Linked DNA regions of Canis lupus familiaris. The main gene of each other region encodes a partner of the protein of the gene in region 2 in a complex. Links are inferred from orthologs where the notes say so. Each region holds a gene or a part of one and is shown on either strand. Other genes may lie near its edges.

What was found.
Region 1: the proteins of AGT (region 2) and DPP3 are in contact, whole or in part, in a crystal structure (PDB 5E2Q), measured with the Homo sapiens proteins. The link is inferred for Canis lupus familiaris from reciprocal best matches to the Homo sapiens genes AGT and DPP3. Residues at the interface, in NP_001369746.2 of Homo sapiens: Asp25, Arg26, Val27, Tyr28, Ile29, His30, Pro31, Phe32; in NP_005691.2 of Homo sapiens: Phe109, Glu316, Tyr318, Glu329, Phe381, Gly385, Ile386, Pro387, Ala388, Gly389, Ile390, Asn391, Ile392, Asn394, Arg399, Val412, Leu413, Val415, Ala416, Phe443, Val447, His450, His455, Glu507, Glu508, Asn545, Arg548, Leu552, Glu555, Phe556.

The regions. Positions count from the first base shown.
Region 1 is NC_049239.1:51,338,303-51,341,198, forward strand, and holds the end of DPP3 (dipeptidyl peptidase 3), read right to left. Parts: intron 2,402-2,896; exon of another isoform or gene 2,303-2,401; intron 1,072-2,302; exon of another isoform or gene 1,040-1,071; coding exon 867-1,039; 3' UTR 502-866; downstream 1-501. UniProt on the Homo sapiens protein: Cleaves and degrades bioactive peptides, including angiotensin, Leu-enkephalin and Met-enkephalin. Also cleaves Arg-Arg-beta-naphthylamide (in vitro).
Region 2 is NC_049225.1:9,068,120-9,071,934, forward strand, and holds part of AGT (angiotensinogen), read left to right. Parts: intron 1-3,028; coding exon 3,029-3,296; intron 3,297-3,815. UniProt on the Homo sapiens protein: Essential component of the renin-angiotensin system (RAS), a potent regulator of blood pressure, body fluid and electrolyte homeostasis.

The DNA.
Region 1 (2,896 bases), on a different chromosome or scaffold from region 2:
GCCTGCTGAGGCGCAGTTCCTAATCTCAACTGGTATGATTTATTTTTTGCTCCTTCCCAGCCGGAACTTCCTGGCTTTGCAATTTCTGGATTATTGGCAGGACCCTCTGGCCTGGAGAGCAGCGAAACTGACTCCACTACACCCTCCTCCTCCTCATGGTTAATCCGGTTGAAAAGGGGCTATGTCCTTCTAGAGGGCTGCGCTCAGAGAAACAAAACATAGTGTTAAGAGATTAAATCCTAGGATTGACTGAAATTGAGTTTCCAGTTTTTAGGTTCCTGGAATATTTTTAAATACAGGATAATGCCACAAAGGAGAACTGCAGAAAGTGTGCTATGCTCCTCCTCATGGCTGTGTATCATTTAGAAGTGTTATCAAAACCCTGTTGTGGAGGGGAACCTAAACTGACATTCTTCCCTTCCCCAGGCCTTGATCCCTTTGCCCTGCTGGGAGCAAATGAGAAGCAAGGCAAAAATCAAAGATTCACACAAATTCCAAAGATGGTGGTTGTTTCTAATGTTTATTTTTCTGGTTATAAAAGTAATGAAGAGCACTGGATTGGGAGAGGTTTTAAGTCCTGTAGCATTTAGATAGTTCTCAGAACTTCCATTCCCTTATCTGGGAAGCAGCATAAGGAGCCCGGCCTTGCCCACTCTTTCCAAGGGCAGTGCAGATCAAATGAGATAACACAGGAGAAGCACTCGGTAAACTGGCAAGTGCCCACAAATGGAAGGGGTTAGTGTCACCACCCTTGGCTGAGGTAGCACCAAGGTGCGAGCTCCTGCTCCTCCCCTAGCACACAAATGAAAGGGGGGTCACTTGCAACCCTGGTTTGGTGGAGTTGGGGGAGGAGCTGCATAAATCTCTCAAGCCTGGTCAGATGAGGCCTCATTGGGGCACTTCCAGAACCGGGCATCGGCTGTGGCCAGCTGAGTGAGGACCTCCTCCAACTCGGGCCCATCCTCTGGGAAGCGCTCGGAGAAGGATCGGATGAGGCCAGCAGCAGAGGCCTCATACTCGAGAAGCTGTACTTCTGAGTCTGGAGAGGAGAAGGAAAAAAAACATCAGCAGGTAAAGGTCTTAATAGGAAGCAGATAATCGGGATCCCTGGGTGGCGCAGCGGTTTGGCGCCTGACTTTGGCCCGGGGCACGATCCTGGAGACCAGGGATCGAATCCCACATCGGGCTCCCGGTGCATGGAGCCTGCTTCTCCCTCTGCCTATGTCTCTGCCCCCCCCCCCCTCTCTCTCTGTGACTATCATAAATAAATAAAAATTAAAAAAAAAAAAAAAAAAAAGGAAGCAGATAATCACAATCATAATCATAGGAGCAGGTAGTCTTCCTGAGCTCTTACCATGTGCCAAAAATTGTGCTCAGTGTCTTCTTATCTAATTTAATCTCTACAATAACCTGATGAGGAAGGGAGCATTAAAGAGGGAGTATTCAATGAATTGTTGCATTCATTCATTCACTTAATAAGTGTATACTCTGGTGCCATGTTAGGTTAAATAGACAGTCCTTGGCCTCCAGGAGCGTACAGTCCAGCAATTGTTTCATCTCTGACTACTGTGGGACCTTGGACAAGTTTCACAACCTGTCCAAGCCTCATTTTCCTCACCTATAAAGTGGGGGTGAGCACAGGGCTTCTTCTTTCAAGAAGCTACAGTGATTAAATACAATAATGCATCGAATGAATGCTCAATAAGTGCTAGCTATCACTAGCATCGTTATCTTGAGCACTCAGAAGAACTAAAGGGGCACCCATTTAACTCATGGGCTGTTCTGAGGGTCCCCTGAGTCCTCATGGGAAGCATTTCCCTCCGACATACTTTCACTGTTCCACCCACTCATAGAGCCTTGTCATGCTTTGTGGCACTGTGGGGTGTATGTAGCTAAGAGCACAGGCTTTGGGTTCAGACAGCACATGTTTAAATCCTGGTTCTGCCACCCACTAACTGTTGACCGCAGGCAAATACACAGCCCCTCAATGTCTCAGTTTCCAGTTGAAAAATGAAACAATAACTTCCCCATGGGGCTGTTGGGAGTTAATCCATTCAAAGTTTTTACCCAGTGACTGGCACATGGAAGTCCTCCAAAGTTACTCACCATCATCATCATCACCACCACCACCATCACCACCATCCCTTTGAAAATCCCACTTGGTCTTCAGGCTTAGTTTAACTACTTCCTCCCCAGATTCCCTCAAAGGTGAATGTGATCTTCCCTTCTCTAAGTGTTCAGACACCGTTTGGCCCCCTTGGGCGCTTATTAACACTCCCTGGCTGTGATCATTCCTCTCTAGGTCTTATTCCTAATGGACTGTGAACTACTTGAGGCAAGGGCCTGGGTCTGATTCATCTCTCCATCCCCAAGAGCCACAACGGGCTGGACAATCAAAATGGTAATGTAATGAGCACTTACTCCGTGTCTGGCATGATTTGTCTATTACTCATCTGACATGCATTAAGCAGCTCCTGTGTGCCAGATTCTATGCTAGCTACTTGCTGGGGATGTGCTATTCCTGCTGATATGAAGTATGGCATATAGGAAAATAGTAGAGTGATAGTGCATGAAGGGATTGCTTTAGGTTGAGGGGTCTTTAACAGAGACCAGAATGATAGGAAGGACCAACCACAGACTGTGCCCAGCAGAGGAAACAGTGAGTGCAAAGGCTATGGGAGGGGAGTGAGCTCAGGGGGTTGGAACGTAGAAAGGCGATGAGCCCCGGGAGCCAGTGAGCCAGGAAGAGGGGTCTCTGAGGCCTTCCAGGGGTCAGGGTCAAACCCCCTGAAGCCTCTGAAGTGCAGTGTAAAGAGTTGGAAATAAGCCTCTTAAATGTGTCTTCCTCACCAGGCAGAGTAATTATTTCATTTAACTTTCACAACTGCTTGTGACT
Region 2 (3,815 bases):
TCTGTGCAAAAACCACTAGTTTGTTGGCTTACACCACTTTCATGTCGGGAGGGGTTATTACCACCACCACCCCTAAATCCCTACAAAGATAGTTTGCTCATTCAACAAATAATTGTTGAAGATTTATTAAGTGCAAGCCCCTGAGCTCGGTGTCTCGGAGGGGAGATAGATCCCACAGGCAAATGTCCCCCGCTACAGAGCTGCAGATTAAAGCACCTACGAAGTGCCTAGGAAGGTCCTCCGAGGCTCGGAGCACTTGGAGGAGGGAGAGTCACTGGGGAGAGGACAGAGGCCCAGGGGAGGTCAGGGGAGCAGAAGAAGAAATGTGTGAGCAAAGGCTGGCGAGTTCAGGGCCAGGAACCAGAGCAAGGGCAGCTCTGTTTGGCCAGAGCTCAGAGTGAACGTGGAAGGCAGAGCCTGGAAAGATGGGTTCGGGCCAGATTTTGGAATGCGATTTTGGGAAGGTTGGCGGGTGTTGGAGCAGGCAAAGTGTTCTGTTCAGAGGTCATCCGGGCGGCCGGGGCTGTGTGCATTGGAGGCAGGGAGGGTCTCGGGAAGGTTACGCAACGGGCAAACTGTCCTGGGAACACGTGCTGAGGTAGTGGCTCTGCAAACTGATGGGTGGGCTGGGGAGGGTGCATTTGAGAGCCAAGTGAGCAAGCAGCCCAAGGATGAAACCAGAGACAGAGAGGTTTCATAGAGCATGACTATTTTCTTACTCCGAAACATCCTGGACGTCTGTAAACCGCAAAGGGAAGGACCTCCGGCCCGTTTAAGGGGCAGGAGGAAGATGATAGACCAGGACTGCTCAGGTCCCAGTGCTGACGGGTCATAGGAGCAGAGTCCAGCACAGGGACCATCCAGCTGAGGGGAGCCCCACCCCACGGAGGGCAGAAGGGACTCGTGGGCTCAGCCTGCCGTTCCTAAGAAGCCCCAGGCGGAGAGCTCATTGAGAAAGTCGTGCCCCCAAAAGGCAAAGCTAGAGAGCCACGGGTGTCAGAGATGGGGTCTCATTCCGGAAGAGCTCCTGTCCACGTGTTCTCATGATGCAGCTGGACAAGAGACATAGAGACAAGGAAACCACGCTCAGGACTCAGATGCTCACCCAGCCCCACCAGGTCCCACCCTCTGATCTTGCTCCCTGACCTTCCTATGCCTGTTTCCATCAAACAGGGATGCACAGCCCCTCCCTGCCCACCACAGTGTGCCCACAGAGGAAGCAGCAGGCTGTCCTGGGGGATCTAGGCTCCCCTTTGGTGATGATGTTCTATTGCCATGACCTCAGCAGACAGCTGGATGCTCCTGACCTGTGAAGACGCAGGGACTGGGAGCCCCTGAGCTGTAGGGTGCCCTTTGCCCAGGCCTCGCTGTCATCCCGAGCTGCTGCTGGCCCTGGCAGGTTCCACAACACCAGTTGACTTAACCTTGAGAGATTTACTTAACCTCTGGATGAGGATGGTGCAGCTGAGCAGACAGGACAGGGCAGCCACCTCTGTTTCAGATTCTCACATCTTTCTGTTTAGTCCTCTCTTCCCCTAAATTGACAAGTCCTCGGCCAGGCCTGGTGGGCCAGCACAGAGGGCCCCTCGGGGAGTCTGGGAGGAGGGACGCTGCAGCTCCTCACTCCCCGTGGCCTCTGAGTATCAAGGAGCAAGAGGACGCTGGGTTCCCCAGTTCCTTCTCAGGGGAGCCAGGCCCTGGGAAGGCAGCCCAATCAGCCACCTCCCCCAGGCGCCCGTCCTTCCAGCCTCCACACCCCCCAACCACCTTGGAGACGTCTGGTCCAGGAAAACGAAGCCCTGGCTCTTTCACCTGCCTCTACTCAGATTCCCAACTGGCCGGCACCCAGGGGCTGCTCTGTGACAGACTCACCATCACCTCATTCTTCCAGAAAGAGCCCCAACATGGGTGATGAGGCTCCTAAGACAACTGAGAAGAACGCAGGGAAGGGGCTGTGCTAGTGGCTGCAGTCATGGAGAGATCCCCGGGGACAGGGTCTTCAGCAGGTGTCCACCCCTCATCCTGTGACAGTTGAACCAGGTGGCCACTCTGCTCTGCCACTGCCAGGCACCAGACAGGTTGGCCCCGCACTCCCCTGCAAGGCCCAGTGTGAGCTGGCATAGAGCACTGTGCTCAGAGCCACTGGTCACACCAGGTCGAGCGTCTATCCCTGGCAGCACGGGAGCCTGAGACATGGAGCCTGGACGTGTGTGCCCAGGTCTGCATCCTACGACTTGAGAAAGGGAGACTCTCAGCTGGCAGTGTTCGCAGATTGAAAAGAGAATGTGCTCCGAGCACACGTAGGGCCGAGGAGCTACTCCGGATGATACTGTGATGGTGCACATGTCATTGCACATTTGTCCAGACCCACAGGACGTACAGCACCAAGAGTGAGCTCTAACGTCACCCATGGTCTCTGGGTGACAATGACGTGTCTGCGCAGGTTCATCAGTGTAACAGGTGCCCCACTCCTTGGGAGTGTCGACAGTGTGGGAGGCTGTGCGTGCGTGGGGGTGCTGGGTACATGGGAAAGCTCTAATACCTTCCTCTCAATTTTGCTGTGAATCTAACTTCTCTAAAAAAAATTACGTCTATTTAAAACGAAGAAAGTGAGCACGCAGACCACGGCTTTGGGCCAGGCCAGATCTGGGGTGCGTTTACAGGGATAGTTCGGCGTGGCCTAAGTTCCCTATGCTCTCTGGTTTCCCTTGCGGGCCTTCCGGTGACAGGTGTAAAGTCCCAGTGTGGCACCTGCTGTGTGAAATGGCTTCGACACTGGCAGCTGGTGTCTCTGTAGTGAACTCAGGTGGTTGGATTTTGCAGGAGGAAGTCGTGGCTGGCCCTCAGGGGTCCTGGAGCTGCTGAAGCGCTGGGGTGGCAGACTGGCCAGCGGCCTGGGGGTGTGCTGGGAGGGTGGGGGGCACAGGCTAGGCCTCCGGGGTCTGGGGGGCATCCCCAGCCCTGAGCCCAACCCGCCTGCCCCTGCCTCAGCCGACTCTTCCTTCTTGTCTCCTCTCTGGCTCTCCAGGAAAGCTAAAGGGGCTCTCCCCCCTGGCGGGGCTGCGGGAGTTCTGGGTGGACAACACCACCTCGGTGTCGGTCCCCATGCTCTCGGGTACAGGCACCTTCCAGCACTGGAGCGACCCCCAGAGCAACCTCTCCATGACCCAGGTGCCCCTCGGCAAGAGCGCCTGCCTGCTGCTGGTGCGGCCCCTCAGCACCTGGGGCCTGCAGACGGTGGAGGCCCTCACCTTCCAGCACAACTTCCCGACGTGGGTGAAGAACCTGTCTCCCCGGTACGGCTCCCTGGAAACATCCTGGCACCCCCTTGGCTGGTCCCCTCCTGGAAAGTGGGGGCCTGGGCCCAACCTTCTGCCCAGGGTGGGAAGGGGTGTGGGGTGAGCCCGGGCCCGGGACAGGGAGGGCTGTTCCGGAGCAGAAGGCCTGTGTGACCCCGGTCCTGCAGCATCCCTCCCTCCATCCATTGACCTAGCTCTCGATGTATTGTCTCCTCCTGGGAGTAGAAGAGGTAAAGGGGGGTGGGGGGTGCTCTCCTCAGGCTTGGACTCACCCACTGGTTTTGGAAGCCTGCATTTCAGTCCACCCTGAGAGGGGGACTTTTTCAATGCCATCATCCCCTGTACCCCCCACCCACTCAGCTACATTCCAAGAGCTATTTTGGGGCCTGGCTTCCCAGAAGGGTTTGGACCCCCCTGAGAGCTGAGGGCGGGGCTTTCTCTAGGAGCTGTCCTGGACCCCAGAATTCCTCGGCTTGCTCCTCTTTCCTACCGTGGCAGGAAGAAAGCCATCCCCCT